3 linked regions of the Arabidopsis thaliana genome follow. The protein of the gene in region 1 interacts with the protein of each later gene in a pairwise test. Each region holds a gene or a part of one and is shown on either strand. Other genes may lie near its edges.

The links.
Region 2: the proteins of BBX28 (region 1) and COL3 interact in a two-hybrid assay, tested with the Arabidopsis thaliana proteins (one large-scale study listed by BioGRID).
Region 3: the proteins of BBX28 (region 1) and AT2G47890 interact in a two-hybrid assay, tested with the Arabidopsis thaliana proteins (one large-scale study listed by BioGRID).

The regions. Positions count from the first base shown.
Region 1 is NC_003075.7:13,672,244-13,679,235, reverse strand, and holds BBX28 (B-box type zinc finger family protein), read right to left. Parts: upstream 3,700-6,992; 5' UTR 3,384-3,699; coding exon 2,799-3,383; intron 2,707-2,798; coding exon 2,620-2,706; 3' UTR 2,181-2,619; downstream 1-2,180. Other genes in the region: PHOS34 (Adenine nucleotide alpha hydrolases-like superfamily protein), read left to right, coding at 369-376; AT4G27300 (S-locus lectin protein kinase family protein), read left to right, coding at 6,888-6,992.
Region 2 is NC_003071.7:10,563,630-10,570,035, forward strand, and holds COL3 (CONSTANS-like 3), read left to right. Parts: upstream 1-3,206; 5' UTR 3,207-3,329; coding exon 3,330-3,908; coding exon of another isoform or gene 3,909-3,992; exon of another isoform or gene 3,993-3,994; intron 3,995-4,011; coding exon 4,012-4,317; 3' UTR 4,318-4,516; downstream 4,517-6,406. Other genes in the region: ARF3 (ADP-ribosylation factor 3), read left to right, coding at 185-203, 342-453, 829-876, 1,053-1,183, 1,299-1,332; AT2G24780 (uncharacterized protein), read right to left, coding at 2,052-2,210.
Region 3 is NC_003071.7:19,604,267-19,611,820, reverse strand, and holds AT2G47890 (B-box type zinc finger protein with CCT domain-containing protein), read right to left. Parts: upstream 3,826-7,554; 5' UTR 3,577-3,825; coding exon 3,106-3,576; intron 3,028-3,105; coding exon 2,866-3,027; coding exon of another isoform or gene 2,785-2,865; exon of another isoform or gene 2,783-2,784; coding exon 2,511-2,782; coding exon of another isoform or gene 2,507-2,510; exon of another isoform or gene 2,439-2,506; coding exon 2,345-2,438; 3' UTR 1,534-2,344; downstream 1-1,533. Other genes in the region: TLP3 (tubby like protein 3), read left to right, coding at 1-54, 151-625; AT2G47885 (uncharacterized protein), read left to right, coding at 6,453-6,590; AT2G47880 (Glutaredoxin family protein), read right to left, coding at 6,389-6,697.

The sequences.
Region 1 (6,992 bases):
GGCATTTTGTAAAACTTGACTAGGGAAAAACTTGAGAATAGAGTGATATAGAAATCATAAGCACTTCTCTTTGTTTGATCTAGCTAGTCTATTGCTAAGACAGCCTTTGTTATACACTTTTCTAGACATATGATAACTGTGCGTAAGATGATGCAAAATAGCTATGAATTGTCAAAGCCTAGGTTTGCAAAAGAAAATGTACATGATCTTTTCTTGATTGACTCCTCTTGTGAATCTTAGTTTCAACTCTTACAAGTTGACACTTGTAGAAGGATATTTGACATCAAGCTAATTAATTAAAACAAGGTTGTCTGGGTATGATTTTATTATCCAAAGCGAATAACTATTGAGCCCTCTTCCTTTTACAGATGAGTAAAGTGCCTTAGTATCTCATCAGGTTCACCCTCTTCACAGTCAGGTAAAATATAAACAACCTTTTCAACTTTGAGTGGTCTCCACCGACCATTCTTTCGGGTTTTTTTCTTATTCTTTTGGAATTCGTAGGTACAACGATGGATGAAACAAAACGGATTTGTGCAGAGGAGTGTGTTTGTGTGTTTGTTTATTGCTATCTTTTGCAATATTGAAAAGTCTCTGGAATCTCCTCTGGATTATTTATTCCCAGTCCTTGTTCTTCTTATAATTCTCCATGTATGATTTTCACATTTAAACAATGCCCTTTTCCATGTATGACTTTCACATTTAAACAATACCCTTTTGGGGTTATGACCTTAATCTTCAATCTAATTTGATATCCGATGAGATACTAAAAGATGGAATCTATTTTGGTTTTTAACACTTAAAACAAATCGACCAAAGTATTCAATTATTCATACTAATTGTTCATCCGTTTCCAACATTTATGTTACAACATAGATTATTTACAACATTTATGTCACTCACACTTTACACATAATAATATGGTATGAATTAATGTTAAAAAGGATATGCTCAACTCTGTCCTCTTTGCATGGTTTCCATTCTAGATAAATATCTGCACAGAGGATGTTTTTATTGTTCCTTTTTCATTATTGTGATCTACACTGGCTGACTTAGAGCTCTTCCGCACTTCTCTTTCCCTAACAACTCAAAGTTTCTTAAAAGAGAAAAAAAAACAAGTTTGCTAAAGAATTATCATGACAAGAAAATCAATTTAGAAGAAAAGCACAAAGGAACAAAAAGAAGAGAAGAGAAATTCACATATGTATTGTGACAATTCTCGATTCTCATGCATACATTTTCTCATGAGGAAGCTACCAAATATGGAACTAATCAAAAAATCATTTCTATACTCTCGCATGTTTAATTTATTGATCCAGTCATAGAGTTTCAAATGACAAGTTTCATATCTCCTGTTTCCAGTTTTGAATTATTATATTTGGAATTGACGATGTCGTGTGAATGTAAATTACGTTATGGTTGAATAAAATGAATGAATGTTAGGTTTGTAGTTAATTAGTGTAGTTTAATCTAATAGTCAAACTCAACGTACGGGATAAAGACTGATCCGTTAGGTTTTTGGTTTGACTTTAGGAATTGGAACTATGGACTAATGGTTGAAGTATTTGACGCTAGTCATGCGTTGATAGTGAAACCCAGCGAATTTCCTAACAAATATTTTCTACTTTCTTATATCGATTTTATAATGAGTTTAAATTTCGAATGTTTTGTTTTGTTTTGTTGGAATCGTATAAAAACTTATAAATTGAAACAATATAAGAATTTGCGTTAAAAGAATATGTAGTTTAAATGAGAACCACATGTTTTATTCAAATTAATTCGAGAGAGACCCAACTGTCCAACCCCCACAACACCAGTTCCTCGGTAAGCCAGAGAATCAAGTGGTTAAAAAAAAGAAGGGATAAACGGTTTTGATGTATGTATATAGGACCCAAATGACACACACGAAACCAATAGGAGTAAAATTTTAAATTAAAATCGAAAGAACTATGGTGAACAAAGATGTGATCCTGTCATGTGAATGAAGAACATGGTGAGATAACGTTATAAGGTAAAACATGGGGGTGTCAATATTTTATGGACCATCAAACACAGTTCACAGACGCGGCAGATATGACAGGTTCAATGTTCTTGGCGAATGAATGTAACCTCAAGGACCCATTACATTATAAAAATCTCTCGAAATTTTATCATATTTAATTTCATTTTCTTTGTAGTCCCCACAATTGAGTGGTCGAAATTACAAAGCAAATCATATACTTTATTTTTACGGTATGTGTATACCATTGTGTCCATCTGCCACCAATCTCTCCCCCATTCCTTTTGATCCATTGAATATAATCATATAACATAAGTCATAAACTTACGAATCGAAATTAATTTACTTACGTAGATTAACAAAAAAAAAATCAACATAATAATGATATTGATAAGAAAAATAAAAAGTTAAGATTTGATTTTGTACGACATTCAAAGAAAGAAAGAAACTACCTCATCTCTAAAACAAAGTATTGTCAGAAAACTGAACGGTGGTGATTTACTTAAACAAGAAAAAAAAAGGAATCAACGGCTGAGATCTCTTCTTGTTTTGGAGATCGCAAAGATCGGAGAAGACGATGTATCGGCGCCGTTCATTCTGACGATACGGTAGAGTGTGAGTTAAACAACAACCGTTGATTTAAACGCCGATCGCTTCAACGGCCGAGAATAGTTTGACCCTTGAGCTGAAGAGCTTCCGATCTCATCCTGCATTTTCCAAAACAACGAAACCGATAATTAAAACCAAAACTTTCTCTGTTAATTTCCCGACAAAATAGTTAAAAAAGATAGATCCATACATCGGAGCAGAGAAGATCTGAATTCTCTCTAGCCCTCGTCCTCTTCGTCACTGAACCTCCGCTTCCTCCGTCAGAAGATGAAGAACTCATCACCGGAGGAACTTGCGCCGCCGCAGACCACGGCACAACTTGATTCTCCGCTTCCTCATCATCACCATCCTCATCATCATCCTCATCCTCATCGTCGCTGTACTCTTCATCCTCATCTTCTTCCTCATCATCATCGTAAGACTCCGCGTCGTCACCGTCACCGTGATCTTCTCTAATCCGATCTTCTTCGGACTCGAAACTATTAACCTCCTCCTGACCACGATTCTCCGATAAAACTCTGTTTCCACGGCCACCGCCGGCGTTTTTAAGAGCGACGCATGACTCGCAGACGGAGAAAGTTGGGCCAAGACGAAGCCCAGTAGCTTTCCACGGCGTAAGAGACTGACAAGCGCTACAGAGAAGACAACGCGTGTGTTTAGCTACCAAGAAATTAGCGCCGTGAACTTTACCGTCGCAATCCCAACATAAACTAGCTTGATCTGACTCGCAATACATTCTTGCAACACCGTTACATAAATCACACTTCTTCCCCATTTTAATCAAAATCAAACTCTTTCTCTCTTTCAAGTTTCTGTGGTTGTTCGTTTTGTGTCTATGCTTTGGTTCCTTGGAGAGATAAGGAAAGAAGAAGAAGAATAGGAAAGTGCAAGTTGCAGGATTTGGGATATTTTTCGTGGCGAGTTTTCTGTGATTCAACAATTCTTTGGAGGCTAGTTTCGTCTTTTTCTGCCTTCTGCTAAAAAATCTATTTCTCTTCTTTGGTTTCACAATGACTCTATTTTATATAGCACCTTCCTTTTTTTTTTATTCTGTGGTTAGTATCCATTTCATTTCAATTTAACTTTGTAATAACGTATAGTATTTAATCAATTAAGGATTGGTTCAACTTAAAAATCTTTTTGCTTTAGAGATGGGTTTATCACTTTAACCTTTATTTGAGATTTTTGTTTGGATAATTATCAGATCTATATCTGCTGCAATTATTTAAATTACTTGAGTCAGTAATGTTTTCTTTATTGTTTTTAGCTTTATCCTTGTGTTTTATTTTTTCTTGTGGATAAAAAATACTGTTTCACATTTTCTACTTAGAATCATTACAGTTTAAGTAAAACACATTAATTATGCGTTATTAGGATAAATAAGTTTAAATGATTTTTGAAAACCAGTTATTAATGCGTATGGGCCAAAGCCAAACCCCGTTTGTACGTGGCGACAAACTCATGGTTCAGTTTCGAGATATTTTTTTGGGAGAGATTTATTTAGTCGATGACGTGGCGAGATCTCAGCCGGGGAAGGAGGAGAGCGAGATTCTGTCCCGTCCTACGTGGACGAATCAGGTTCTCAATGGGCTTCGTAGCCACGTGAGCCCACCTGGGATTTGTCTGGACCATAACACAAGTTTAATGGGCCCCACGTATCTTTGTTCAATTATCTTTCCCTCTTTTTTTATAAACCACTTGTTTTGTTTTTTACTTCTCTCCCATACTTCTTCGCTTCCCAAACTGATCCAAAACATCTGTGTTTCTTGCGAGGATAAGATAACAATGAATTTTTAAATTACAAAATAATATATCGGTATTGGGGGAGAATAAAAAACTTTCTAATATGGTACATAGTAGGCGAGTATTTGTTTACTTGGACTATAATTGTTTAATGTTTTTTTTTTTTGTTAGATATGGTTATTTAATCGTATAGTTGATTTATTTGTGGCTCTCACGAACCCATTGTAAGAAAAACAAATGTTGATTAAACTCTGGCCACATAAAAGATTGTGCTTATGTGGAATGCTTTGATTTGGGGAAATCCTACGTGGCGATCGACGGTGGTGTGAAGAATCAAAGGAAGATGAGATGTCATGATGAGAGCCACGGATACACAAAGTCTCTGGTGAGTGGGTGTGGTTGTGGTTATGGCTCATTATTGTGGCTTTTCTTTTTCTTTTTTTCCTCCATTGTGTGGATAAGAATTTTGGAACAAGTCAGAACTTTGAAGAAGAGAGATTCATATTCAAAATGTGTGTGTATATATAATATTGTCAGAATAGTTCAAATACATCCCTTCTTGTTCTCATCTTTTAAGAGATGTGGCATGTATCATGTATGTATGGGGCTATGCGATATGCAGTATTGATGCCAATTTTTGTCAAAAGAGTTTTTTTTTGTGTGTTTTATTAAAAAAAAATATTCCAAATAAAATTAAACGCCAAAATTTGAAAAACTAGCTGTTTGTTTTCTGTTTATCTTTGATTTTATTAACTTAACTATTCAACCACTAAAATTAAAAATGCTGGATTGTTTGTTGTTTTAAACCAGCTTAATGAATATAAAAGCACGCCTATTTTGTTTGATTGGTGATCGATCTAAATATCTAATAGTCTAGTCATCCCATCCAATTTGGATTCGAAATCCTATCTTTGGTTAGAACGATCAAATTATGCCAATTTGTTTGTTAAACATATATATTTATTAGAAGACTACCATTTCATTTTAATTTAGAGAAGTAACCAATGGTTTCGCTTATGTCAAAGTCTTTGATTCAAGGATCGATAAAATTTGAATAAGAAAATGTTGTAACGAACAAATGAACATTCAATGATCCATCAATAAATGTTTTATGTATATATATATATATATATATATTCTATATTTGAATAAAACCAATCAATAATTCTACTAATGCTCCCTACAGAAAAACCACACGTTAAAAACCCTTAAAATATATCGACACGATTGTGAGAAAAAGACTAGCAAAGAGACAATGCATAAGCTAAGAAGGCCTAAGGGATGATGATTAACATGGGCCTCTTTTTGTACACGTTTTTTCTTTCCTTTCCTTCTTTGCGTTCACGTTTCTTGGTACACGTATCTCTTACAGTCTCCACGTTGAAGTGTAAGCATTACAGAGCTCTCTCGCTAGAGACAACGATGATCTTATACCTGTTACGTTCATGTGCCAAAATTAGGTCTTCATTTTCTATTGGTACATGTCAGTTTGGGCCATCCGGTCACTATTATACACATATGGTCTATATTTTTAAAAAAACTTCTTACTTGCCAAATAATTGGTCCACTAAAAAATAGTCGGAAATTACAATAAACCGGACCCTTAAAATCAATAGGAAAACTCTGGATCTTGGCTTCAACTACTATTGTTGTAAACTAATGTTTTTTCGCCTCCAAATTCCAATCTCTATTTTCCTAGTGAAATACATTTTATTAACAAATTTGCGAATATGTTAAAGATTTTGAATACTAGTAGCCAAAAGAAAAAAAAAAGAAAAAACTGTTGTTCATGGAGGCTTATTTAATTTCTAGAAACGAAGTTTCTGTTCGATAGAGGTTCATCTCGATCGATCATCAAGGAATCGACTTGGAGAAAATAGACAAGAAAAGGTTTCAGTCCACTACGAAAAGCATACTTAAGAAAATGGAAGCGTGGGCCGTATATGGGCCTTAAAACAATTAGATACAGGCCAGCTACGTCTCTAAGTTGAGTAGTATTTGCGTTGACTGAGCCATGTCACGTCAGGACTTCACCTGTGGGTCGCCAACGATTGGCTATATCCACCAGATCAATAATGCAATGCATGAATTTTACTTGAATCGTCGCAATGTACATATCAAACTATCAATGATCTGATTCTGACCACTCGCTCCCTTATATGGTGACTAAGTCAAGGAAGATTAGCCACATCTATTTATTGCTTTTGTCCTTGCTAGGCTTATACACTCTTAATCTGAGAAACTTCCAACATGGCCATCAAAACTTAATGAGGAATCATATCTTGTCTCTGGCGTTCAAACAAAACACCCTAATAATTTTTTTTTTCATTCTGAAGAAAAGTTTTATCATTGAAGTTCAACATCCACAGACAATCTGCATTGAATTTATCTTGACTTGTCGCTTATGCCAAGTTGGGTTGTACGAAGTTGACAAAAAAAATAAAAAAATCTGTATGTGATTTTCATAATGTGTATTATAATGATTGCTTTATTTAGTAAAGAGTCACAAAACTAGAAAGAAAAAAGGTTTCATTCGATGAGAGAAATTCATTCTCTGTTTTCGTTATCTCTGTTCTTAATTTCATCTTCTCTCTCTGTTGCTTTGGATTATAATGTCATCACTCCAAAAGAATTCCTTAAG
Region 2 (6,406 bases), on another chromosome or scaffold:
TGTATTCAAATTTGGGTGATAAAGAGTTCTGTATTATCACATCTTCTTCCTATAGTTTTTATTATTATTATTGTTTTGCACGTGTTGTATGTACATCTGTCTTGTTAGTTATATGCGAATGCTTTTGCATTTTACAAAATTGGTTCAGCGACACAGTACATTAACAAGAACTTTCCTATGACAGGTGGACAAACAAGCATCAGGTAGCTTAATGACCTCGTTTCTCATTTCTAGATATGATGAACATATTGCATCTACTGTGAAGGAATGAAGAACAGAAATGCTCCATCAAGATTATACTGTTTTTGTTTTGCCCAATTTTCTAATGGTATTTTTGACAGGCCATACTGGCGATGCTATTTCCCGAATACACAAGCAGTGATCTATGTTGTTGACTCGAGTGATACAGATAGAATCGGGGTGGCGAAAGAGGAGTTTCATGCAATTTTAGAGGTAAAGTACTGCTGAGGCTTCCTCTTCTTATACTGTTGTATTATTTTGTGATGGACTTCTTGCATCCAAAAGTAATTGAGGTAAAACGATGATGATGTATATCGGTAGTTGAATGGAAATACAATATTGGTTCAGTTTCTTGTTTAGGACTTGTTATAGATGCTTGTAAGTTGTATATCAAGTATTGTTAGCCTTCTAATAGGTGATACTGAAATTGAAGTATCTCGGTTAGTACTGGACGGAAAGAACAAGTGATCATTTCTCTCTGTAGATCTTGCTAGCTAATCTTAAACTCTCAGCAACAATGCTTACTTGAGTTTACCTCTGCCACTGTCAGCATTTAACTCGCACTATCTTTTCAACTATGTTTTATAGGAAGATGAATTGAAAGGTGCGGTGGTTCTGATATTTGCAAACAAGCAGGTTAGTAGTCTCTAAATGTTTGCTCTTCCGATTAGTTTGGGCTGATTCATCTGGAAATCTGTATTGGTTTCTGTTGCTAAAAAGCTTTAGTTTGTTTTGCATGCACAAGACACTTTTTTGCTGATGAAAAATCTATAACTATTTGGTCTGAGTTTCATTAAATCGACTTAATTTAGGATCTTCCCGGTGCACTCGATGATGCGGCTGTTACAGAAGCCTTGGAGTTGCATAAGATAAAGAGTCGTCAATGGGCAATCTTCAAAACTTGTGCTGTGAAAGGCGAGGGACTTTTCGAGGGATTGGACTGGTAAGCACATTCTGAAACCGAACCATTTTCTTGGTCCCATTATTGAAACACTGAACCCATTTCTTTATGCATTTCTTCTCAAATATTCTTCTCTCATTTCCATCTTGATCTTCAGGTTGAGTAATACATTGAAGTCGGGAAGTGGCTAAAATCATCGTCATACACCAATCTGTCACATTTCTCAAGAGTGTAACTTTGATCATTTTTACTTATTGGTTTGTTTAGTATCTTTTTTTTATCTTAGTTCTTCATCTTAAAGAGTTAATATCAATGACATGTTCACTTAATATTCTCTTTTTGTTGTTTTGTTTCATTCTGAAAGAAAAAACCCAACACAGATTTTTGATTGAGACCCATAAGGGGTAATATCATCACTTTTTAACATGAAATATTGAACTGATTCCAGACGAAACACTGAATTGGTTCCAAGTGGTGTTTTTGCCGACTTGGATTCAGAAGCTCAAACGTTTGGGGTTTTAGAAGTCCTAATTTATGTAATTTGTCTGCTCCTTAATTAATGATAAAATTGTTGACACTATTATGCCATTTAGTAGATAGTAAGATTTTTTTTTAATGTTTTCAAAGAGGCAAAAATAATTTGCAAGGAATATATAGAACTAGCAAGATACTAGCCTAAGCTATTTGATTAACTTTCCTGCTAATAATGCTAGTATGCTACCAAAACAAAACACAAGCGATTTGTGAAGCTCTTTCTTAAAGAGTCCGGCTCGGCGTTTAGAGAATGTAACTTGACGGTGGCTCTCTTTCTTGATCTTACCATAGAATCTTTTATATGGCGGGTGTTGAGCAAATTAACTTAAACAAATTTGTTTTATTATCGTAACTCAATAAAAATTACGATTTCTAGTCATAAACAAAAGGCTGTACATAGCATTAGGCCTGCTACGGATCCGGATATCCGGGTTTTTTGGAGTATCTGGATCCGTATCCGTATCCGGCGGATATGTAGTTTTAGGATCCGCATCCGGATCCGTAAACCTCGGATATCCGGATTTCGAATATCCATGAAAAAACCGGATATCCGCGGATATTCGAGATCCGTTTATTTTTGGGAACAAATTCAATTTCCTATTTCACCAACCAGATTGAATTCACCACCAAAAGAGATCGACGTGTGCCCGACATCAGACTTTGCAAGGCACATACCACCAAGATCTCGTCTTTAACGGTGTCCAATCTGCTCCTCCTCATTCATCTCCGCCATCGACACTTTGAATCCCATGTATCATCATTCCCGTAAGTAAACTTCCGTCCATAAATTTACGACGGTGGAACCGAGATGAATATGGTGGGGAGACGGTGATGAAGATTACATGGAGATGAGATGGAGATAGTGAAGGAAATGGTGATGAAGGAAACATTCACGGCGGCAGAAAAAATATGTTATGAAACCCTAATAGTTAAGTCCCAAACAAACTCAAATTCCATCATTTTGTCGTAGTGGGCTAATATTGGACTATTGGGCTTAACATTGATAATGTGTATTTGATTAAGCCCAGGATACAAATATAACTTAAGCCCATAATACAAATATGTAGACATATTGAACGGATGCGGATATTCGGCTCTGATTTTTTTCATAATCTGGATCCGTATCCGGATCCGCCGGACTCGTATCCAGATCCGCCGGACTCGTATCCAGATCCGCCGGACTCGTATCCGGATCCGTCGCACCTAATTATTCGGTTTTCCGGATCGGATCACGGATCCGGATTCGAATACCCGCGGATAACGGATTTTAGTCCCAGGCCTACATAGCATCTACGGTAATTATTAACTATTAAGTAACCATGGGTAAATTCGAATTTCCTTGCCGACAAAAAGAAGGAACTTTCCATTCCTTTTGTGAAAGTCCGTGAGAACATGAACCCAAGTTAATACACCTTCACATGATTAGCCCCACTTCTCCTAAATGTCTCGTAAACTCCAACTATTCGGCTAAGATTCACTAACGTGTCATCTCTCTATTCGCTATTCCCAGATCTCCATGACCCACTTCACTCCCTGCGCGTCCGGTACAATCGCCACTTCCATAACACCAAGAGTCAATACAAAAAAAAAGCCGACTCCATTATTATCCCTCTCTCTACAAAAAAAACAGTAGAGAGAGATATAGAGAGCATCAATGGCGTCGTCGTCAAGACTTTGCGATTCGTGCAAATCGACGGCAGCAACTCTATTCTGCCGCGCAGACGCCGCGTTTCTCTGCGGCGACTGCGACGGTAAGATCCACACAGCTAACAAACTCGCATCACGTCACGAACGAGTTTGGCTATGTGAAGTATGCGAACAAGCACCAGCACACGTCACGTGCAAAGCTGACGCCGCTGCGTTATGCGTCACGTGCGACCGTGATATCCACTCAGCTAATCCACTCTCTCGCCGCCACGAGCGCGTACCAATCACTCCTTTCTACGACGCTGTAGGTCCAGCAAAATCCGCTTCCTCCTCCGTCAATTTCGTAGATGAAGATGGCGGTGACGTCACTGCTTCGTGGCTTTTAGCTAAAGAAGGAATCGAAATCACTAATTTGTTCTCCGATCTTGATTATCCGAAGATTGAGGTAACGTCGGAGGAGAATAGCTCCGGTAACGACGGAGTTGTTCCTGTGCAGAATAAGTTGTTTCTTAACGAAGATTACTTCAATTTCGATCTCTCTGCTTCCAAAATTTCTCAACAAGGATTCAATTTCATCAACCAAACTGTACGAATCTCTCTCTATCTTCTTAAGCTTCCATGGATCTGGAAAATTTTCAGATCTAGATCTGAAAGTTTGGATCTGATTTGAGTTTGTGAAATGTTGTTAGGTTTCGACGAGAACGATAGATGTACCGTTGGTGCCTGAAAGTGGAGGAGTGACGGCGGAGATGACGAACACGGAGACGCCAGCTGTGCAGTTATCACCGGCGGAGAGGGAAGCAAGGGTTTTGAGGTATAGAGAGAAGAGGAAGAATCGGAAATTTGAGAAGACGATTAGGTATGCGTCGCGTAAAGCTTACGCTGAGATGAGGCCGAGAATCAAAGGACGTTTTGCTAAGAGAACAGATTCGAGAGAGAATGATGGTGGAGACGTCGGAGTTTATGGCGGATTCGGTGTTGTTCCGAGTTTCTGATATTTTCCGGTGAAAGAAACATGGTAGTAGTATATCGGTTAATAGCAGATTAAGGATAATTAAAACTAAAATGTTTCCTGATTTAATCAGGGGCTAAGTTATTGTTAGAAGATTGTTGTTTTTTGAATTAATTCTCACAATTGTATCCTAAATTATATAGTTTACTTAATGTTGAACTAATAAATTTTGATTTACAATCTCTGTAAGAAATCGATATGCAAAAATAAATGAGTTGAGCTATTAAGATTAACATTCATATAGAACACAAACTCATACAATCAGCTGTGGTGGTGTCCGAGACTGCAAAATTCAAGAGGCGATGGAGGCCAACGTTGATGGTGAACGAGGCCAGATTCGAGAAGCAAAAACTTGTCACGCGGTTGAAGAGAAAGAGCATTTAAAGAAGAGGTGGTTGTGGGTTTCGATACCGTTAGAGCAAAGCACACAAGCTGCAGAGATATTCAGTCCCCAACTTATGAGCCTGTCTTTCTTAAGCAATCTACCTTTCAATGCAAGCTAAGTGATGAAAGAATACCTTGGCACTGCATTCTTGAACCAAACAACCTTATTCCAAGGAATCAAAGTAGAATGTGCTCGTAATTGCTCTCAAGTTTCCTTAGAAGAGAAAAATTGTGCAAAGAAACCAAACATTAAGATATTTAGTTATTAATGAAAATTCAAACATGAGAAAAAACTTAATCAAACGAAAGCAACACAAAAGAAGAAGAAATCTACATATTCTAAAATAACAAACCACTAATTCTCTTTTAGTAAATGGTATAACCTTGAAGGAGAACCCTTTCAAGTATTAGATAATCTAATCATTTTTCGTCGTCATTACTCATAAAGTGTCGAAATATCACTTCATATCAATTGGTTTGCGTAAAACTGACCATACGTCTTCAATGATTGTCATATCAAATGATTCGAAAAGTGTTGGCATATGCATACTCTAGTTTTCATAATGAATCGATTCTCAGACTCTTAGCAAACAAAGGAACATAACATCATCATAATAAAATTTTGAATGAAGTCAGAAACCGCAAATCAAAACTGTGAAGATATGAACTTGATAAGCAAGTTTAAAGCTAACTCAAGTTAATATAAGTTGAACTTGGGTTGAGTTAAATGCTTTTGGATCATAAAGGAGGGTGTCCACGATGTTGCAAGGGCTGGCACAAGTTAGGACAGTCTTCTCATCTTGTGTTTCAAGCAGCCACGTTTGGCGTTTCAAGATGCAACCTTTAAGGTTTACTTTAGCACAAGAAGCTCTAGTTTTATTATCACTATCAATTCACAACAATGTTATTGTGGCCCAGCAGTTAAGTCTCTGTTCCACTTAAGCTTTGACTTATAACTCTTGTAGTCACCTTCTTCTTCATAGTGGAAAGATGTGGATCGAAAGAAAGATCATAACCGGACGTAGCGGTTCGTTAATACCGTGAACCAGGTGAACAAATATTTGTGTGCTTCTCTCTTCTTCTCCCTTTCTTCTACTCTGTTATTTCCTCTTATTCTTCTCCATACTTTGCGTGATATGTTTTTCGTGAGTTGGTGTCAATGACAAAGAGCTGAAAGCTAGAGCCTTTGAGAGGTTAAAAACTTTATGTAATATTGTGACGACAAGATCTAAAAATATATGCGGGGATCAACTTAATATTTTTAAAATAAGTATATACATAAGAGATAAAACTAAGTATGCCATTATTTTAAAATTTAAATTTATCATGATATATTGTAATTAACAGTTTAAGTAATGGTAGCAATGTCCAAATGAATTGTGAACTGTCGGGATCAATGACATTGAAATTCTACAATTCATTGAAATATTATTGAGATAATATTATTCTTTGTGTCAATAGGAGGAGAAAAATATATCACCATTTTCGGATGTCAACCAACCGATTTTGACATTCAAAACATATTGTACAAAATATGCTATTACTAATAAAATTCAGTATAAATTTATCATTTTATTTGGTAGCAATTTCTACATAAAATCTGAACTTCCGAGATAAATGGCTTCAAAATTCTCAACCATATGGAATTTTTTTTTTTTTTTTTTGTGACATTAGGTGAAACTAAACCA
Region 3 (7,554 bases), on another chromosome or scaffold:
TGGCAACTATCCTGTAGCACATATCTCATATGAGCTTAACGTCTTGGGTTCCAGGTGATTTATCTCCTTGCTTACAGATACATTGTGAGATAAAACGGTAGTTGCTTAATATGGCTTTTGCTAATTGTGAACATTGTCGTATCATACCAGAGGACCGAGGAGGATGCAGTGTGTCATGGATGCCATCCCTGCATCAGCTGTAGAACCTGGAGGAACAGCTCCAACTCAGACGGAACTTGTCCATAGCAATCTTGATAGTTTCCCCTCATTCTCCTTCTTCAGGTCGAAATCAATTCGTGCAGAGAGTCTCCCTTCTGGTCCATCATCTGCTGCTCAGAAGGAAGGACTGCTTGTCCTGAAAAACAAAGCGCCCAGATGGCACGAACAGCTCCAGTGCTGGTGCCTCAACTTCAATGGGAGAGTCACAGTTGCTTCCGTCAAAAACTTTCAGCTGGTAGCTGCTCCTGAGAATGGACCTGCAGGACCTGAGCACGAAAACGTGATTCTCCAGTTTGGAAAAGTCGGAAAAGATGTGTTCACAATGGATTATCAGTACCCTATCTCTGCCTTCCAGGCCTTCACCATTTGCCTCAGCAGTTTCGACACCAAGATAGCATGTGAATGATTAATTCCATCAAACCCTGTGACTCCGTGTTTATTTAGTTGTATCATGTTGAAAGAGAAGACTGGTTTGGCCTCGTCTTAGAAGTGTGTGTACATAGTTTCAAAAGTCTTGGCAAGTCCATACAAGAGAAGAGTCAAGAATCGAAGACAGTAGATTGTGTTTGTTGTTGTTGTTGTTGCATTGTGTTGCTAGTGATTGTAGTTCCAGACTATGATTTCATTTCTCTGATAATTAATTTGATCGTTTTTTGGGTAATATATATCCACACAGAGCAGAAATTGAGACATTTGAATTATTATATTTAAGATTGAATTTGACAAACATCTGCAATATCCTATACAGAGATAGCTTTAATATTATTCGAGTGACCAATGGAGTCAGATGTGGTCAATAATAGGGTGGCAGAAGTGGCGGTCCTTGTGGCGGTGGGCCGCCAAAGCAATCTCGTAGCAGCCAGCAGCAGCACAGACAAGATAGACTGCAAGATTCCACAGTCAGACTAACCACTTAACTCTTTACAAAACACATAGCAAAACAGAGAATGTCTTTACCAGGAACATATCATGTCGGAGAACCCAGAAAAGAAACCACCAATGGGTGGGAAGAAGCCTGGTCCTCCCGGTGGCAAGAACCCTGGTCCTCCGGGTCCTCCTGGTCCTCCGGGGCCCATGACAGATCTCTGAACAGTGTGGTGAAGATGTCTCCAAGGGATTTAGCGCTCTTAAGACAGGAGAATAAACAGAGAAGGGCTCTTATATACAAGTTTGTTGGGGCCTAATCTTCAACGTCAACAAACAGTAAACGAAGAGTGAGAGATGCAAAATTGCTTCAAGCTGCAACCACTCTTCACCAAATGTTCAAATCCAAAAATATTAACAGTAAAATTAACCATCATTAAAATAAAGAACTCCAAGTCAGATTCATATTTGAATTCTAAGAAGAACATAGAGAATATAACCACAACTCTGATACATGATTTAGTGCTTACTGATTGCTCAACAAGTAAAACCCACTCCAGATTCCTTGTTCAACCAAAACTTACTTTACTTCTCAGATTATCATTGGGACAGATTCATCGTAGCAGGAATGATCTGCCAAAAAGTGTTGTCATTTTTTTTTGTATTTTTATACTGCCTCAGATTATTATATATTGGTAGATTGCAAATAGTTGTTGCCGCGAGCCCATGCCTTTGGATGTTTGTCTTCATCGGCCATCCAATTTCATCTGAATAAAAAAACAAGAGTGAAAGCTGCGACGGCAGCGGAATTTCTGTTTCGCCGGCCATCGGGAAGAGACGCTTTTATATTTGGGCTTTAAAAGAAAATGGCCCAAACATGCCAACCTATATTGGGTTTACTATGTTACAACTTGAGCCCATAATATCAATTACATCAAGCCCTTCTTGCTCCATGGATCTTTAATGGGTCCAATCTCACTTTCTAACATTACAACAAGTTCTTTTGCTGCTTGCTTGTCTTGAGATTGTATATAACTGTGAACCATGTTTTGTTCTGTGCTCGTCCATGCTTGCCCTTTGGCAAATTAGGAATCGGAGGCAAAACAAAAAAAAAACTATTCTTAAGTGACAATTTTGAGAGTGTGGTCGATATACAGTGATAACTCCTAAGCTTAGAATACAAAAACTTATCTGATCATACACACTATATGATTCGATTAATACAAAAGATTTTTGATTATCAAAGTAACCTCATCATCATTCATGGATCTGCTGCCTTGGCGAAACGTCCCCTGATTCTTGTCCTGCTTTCTGCACGAACCTTGCGTGATTCATACCTGATGTGTTTCTCGTACCTGTTTCATCAACACATGATTCAAATCCCAATCCTATTGGTGGTGTCTCACTTTTTAAATTAGCTTGTTTACCTTCGAGACTTCTTCTTTTCTTTGTAGCGAGAGAGAGCAGAGTTCCTCTCAAGACTGTTGATCTCATGTGTCATCGACCTTGTACTAGTGATAACCGGAACCATCACAGTCTCTTCCTCACATCGGTTTAAGCAGCCGGAAACGGGAACCATCACCGATGACTCTCGGTCTACATTCTCAGGTTTCTCATCTGACTCCGACAAGTTCTTTAGCAGAGAGCAATATGGAAAGTCCTCATGATCTTGCTGATCGAACCATTTCAGTCCACTCTCCTTCATATTGACAAGAGAGATTTATAAGCTGGAAAATCATTTGACAAGCACAAGAAAACACAACCAATAGCAGTCTCTATTACCAGCTCGCATGTAGAAAACAAATCCGGCGCTAGGAATTGGAACCCGGCATCGATCTCAGCATCTGGGGTTTCAAATTTCAGACAACCAGGCTCAGATCTGGATAGTCCACGGAGCTGTCGGATCATCTCATCTTTGTATTTCCCGCAGGTGGCGTGACGATTCTGGAGCATTTCAAAACATTTCAGAGAAATATAAAAACCGAGCAATTGGCTCGAGAAAAAAAACAGAGCAAGTTATACCTTAGGCAGAGGAGGAACATCCGTGGCCCGGAAGTTATGAGTACCCGACCCGCCCGAAACAATAAGGTCGTTGAGGCTAACGATCTCAGGTGACTCCCAAAGCAATCCGGAATCGAGAGTGAGGTCATCGAGGCCAACGATGGCCAGCAACTCAGGCACGGAGGGACAGCCGGTAAATCCTTCAAAGGGTCTGCGGCTATGAAGGGAGGAAGAGGCGGTGTGGTGTTGCCAGTCGCAGTTCTGGCAAAGAACAGACCTTTCAGTCTCGCAGAAAAGGGAAGAGGGAGATTCGTTGCAGGAGTCGCAGAGAAGTGACCTGAAGTGTTTGGCGAAGAGTTGGTTGGCGACGTGGACTTGCTTGTCGCAGGCGAGGCAGAGCTTGGCGGAGTCAGCTTTGCAGTAGACAAGAGCCACGGAGGAGTCGCAATAGTCGCAGAGGCGGTCACGCTGATGACCTTCTTCTGCTTCCATGGGAGGAGCTTAGAGGAGACGACGCCGACAGTTTTGGTAAGAAGAAGAAGTTGATCTTTTCTTGGGATATTTTGGGGCAACAAAACCAAATTTGGTGGCTTATGTAAAAGCCATATCTTAATTGCATTCTAGGTAATGAATGACGTTAAAGTGACGACATATTTGCTTAGACAAAGTCAAATACATTTTATTTCTTGGGGAAGAAGCTGGAAACCTACACTCTCTTCACCTTCCCGTGCCTTTCTTTACTCATCTCTCTCACTTAACTCGTGAAAAATAGCTCTCCATTTTTATATATTGATTTTTCTTGATATATCGGATTAGCCTAGAATTTAACATAATATTTTGGCTACCACATATATAATATACAGTACTTGGTTAGATTTTTAAAAAGTAAATAAGATCATAACTAATGAAGGGCTCAAGAGAAAGAGTTAATGAAGTTGACCACGAATACATCTCTGAAGATTTTTTAAACCGGGACTAGTCCAGAAAATGGACGTGGCAAATTAGGGACGTTAGAAAAAGGAAGCTCGTTGTTGAGGCAGCGTTGGCCGATTTGATTAACTTTAAAGAAACAGACAAACGAAAAAAAGGACTTTGTCACGTTACCGACATAGCTAGAATGCTCGATACTGAATCTTTTCTTCTTATATTTGTTTTTTGTTTGCCACTATGTATATTAGGTGAAACGGAAATGGATCCCACCATTAATTTTTGATATTGAGTCCAAATCTGCTTATCTCCACTAATACCTCATCATCGTTCCTCGATAACTATTACTCCATGAAGGTAGTTTTCAATTAGAGTTTCCGTACTGAATTAAACCTATTCAAGATTAGCTAATACCATGCATAGTTTGACTTTTAGGGCACGATGGGGAAAAAGAGACAGGATGGGCAATATCTAACATTCCAGCGACACTAATAACATGATCTCGACAACTACTGCCCCTACTTCTCTTGAACAATAACACATATCACAAGATAATCTAGCTAGGTTGCTTTTCCATCCTCGTAACATACTAACATGGCTATAAAAACTCATTTTTCAAAAATCGAAATTGATTCTGAAGCCTTTAATAAAAATACACACAACTAAACTGAAACCAAATGTTCTACCATTTCACTTTGGTGGACTAAACTATTCGCATGAGCTACGTTCCTTTTTTAATTTTTGATTTTTTAAAAAATGGTCCACTTTCCAAGTAATCATCGGTTCTCGATATTTTCTTGGACACGAATCTTGAGCCTATAGGTGGATGCTTTTTTCACGCGCCGGTCAAAGAATCTTGAATCTTATAACAATGACAACAAAGTGAATATGGTTCTTAGTTCTTACACGTTCTGTACAACTTCCGATTAGATTCTCCTATATATTTCCCACGATCCCAAGAAGTTGGAGGTCAAGAAAAGTTGTTCCACACATCATGTAAAGGGATTCTACCTTTATTATTTCTTTTCGACCTTTTGAACTCAGTATAATCATATTTTCTTCAAAAAGAAATCTTCAAGGTCTATATACTACTATATAACTATAGAGGCTTTTACACGCTTCTTTTGATTGGAGAATCTTGAAGTAGTTGATTTTGGTAACTTTAAGTAACTAAAGGGAAATAATTATGGGTAACATATATAAGCATGCAAAGCGTAAATGTCAAATCCATTATTTAGTAACTAATTTACGTGCTTAAACCTGTGAGTAGAGTTTAATCTCAAGTGATAAAAAGCGGAACTAAGGAGAATAATATGCTTCGTTATCTATAAAGCTGATGAGAGGATCGTTAATGTACCGTATATAAAACAACTATTCATATGATTCGTTAGTAAAAAAAATTGTATTTTTTTCTTCTAACATTGTATGTTTTTATTGATTATGAGCATATATGTTTAATTTACTACACGAGCAACTAACGAAAAAACAAAGAGTTCATATATATAAAAAGGTGTACAATTTTTCATTAGAAAATAATAGTAAATTAAACGTGAAGATACTCAAGAATAAAGGAACGCAAAAAGAGCAGTGATTTTGTGTAGCCATGATATACTTGGACCGCGAAAGATCTTCCATCCTCTTCCTCAAACTGCTTTAGTTGCATTAGGCCACTGGTATCTTATCATTGTTTTTCTTCTTACCAAATTTGTATGGTGGAGACTAATTAAGTCTATTCTGATCTAATATTTTTCACATTCGATTTATATATACTCTAATGGGCACTGATTTATCCTTGATTCAAAAGTACGCTCTAAACACAACATCACAAAGGCTAAATCTGTATATCGCCCGATATAATGTTAACTATCAATAGGTCTAACTAATAATGATGAAGCCAACTTATACATTACATCTTGATAATTAGAAGACGAGTTCATGCATGTGTTGGCCATTCACATTTTTATTCTAGCTACTGTCAGTGTATGTGAATATTTCTAAATAAGAAAATGGTTTGTGTGTAGCCTCCTTCTGATACCATGTTAAAAACAGACAAGTATAAACGGTTTCTTGCCTTATTATATGGAAAGCCCTAAATTACTCAACATACACAAGAGATCGTTACTAATTGTGTGGGAAAAAATGTAAAAGTTTCAATACTATTTTCATTAGCATAAACAGAGAGTCATACATCAACATACACCAGTTGATTAACTAAACTGAAACACGAGAGAAGCTAAACAATAGAACATACAAACGATAAACATTAATTCAGACGAAGTCCTCACTGAATATCTAGCTAGCTCACACTCTAGCTGTAACTGTGTTTATTCTCACTAGCTAATAATTAGATATTATATATTGAGTTGGTTTAATTTTGCTAGTAAAGGATGGACTGATAGGGTTTGATCAATGGGACAAGAGAGCCACTAAGGTGAAGGGACATGACTTCATTGGTGGAGCCAACAAGCTTGCCTCCGACAAAGACAGCTGGAACCGCCGTGGAACAGCCGAGCCGGAGAAGAGCCTTCTCGATCTCACGGCAGTCCGGGTCGTTGTCGATCTCGTGGATGGTTGGTTGAACCCTAAGGTCACGGAACAGGATTTGAACGGCGTAGCAGAGACAACATGAGCTCTTCGTGAAGATCACCACTCCTTTCTCTGAAGACATTCTCATCACTTTGTCCATGATCCTCAGAAGTCTGAAGATCTGATGATGGCTAGGGGTTTAAACTTTAGCGTTTTGATGTATGTTTTGTTTTGTTTTGAGTATGTAAAAAGCTTGACATTTGCTCGCCTATTTATAGGAAGGGAGTGAGTCTTTCGAGTGTGTTTTTTTCTTGCTAATTAGAAAGAAAAGACCATTTAAAATGTAGTTTATTTCTAAGAAAATATCAAAAAGGAAAGATAAAATATCAGATGCCTATTTGAGAATTTTTCTTCTTATTTATATTCTGTTTGACTGCACAAGTTGCAAACATTACTCTCACTTCTAAGTTATTCAATTTATTTTTATTTCTACGGTAACGCTGCAGTTGTTTTGATCGTCATAACATGTTGATTAGTAATTTACGAATACGATTCGAAAAATTGTAATCAGTTTCACCTTTTTGTGGGTTAATAATAGTATACGCATTGCCAGTGACATAAATATAATTAATCTAAATAATAAGCACATGCATGCATGGACTAATTGATGAAATAAGTATGAACGGAATGCATATGATAGTAATTTTGAAACACTAACATAGATATGAAAGTTGAAGCTAGCTTATCAAATTGATTACAACAATGATAGAAATCAGACGATTTCTTAATAACTTTTGGCTAAGCGATTTTCTTAAACTGCTGATATTCAAATCAATGTGACAAGAAATATAGCATGATTAATACCCCTAGAAAAAGAAAAGAGGCTTGTCAATTTATAATCTAACGGATTCTCTCAACATATCTCCTTTGATTGAGTCATTGCGCAAAGTGAGGATAAATGAAAAAGATTGGACCTTTCGGTGATAAACATGTATATATATGTATCAACAATATGCA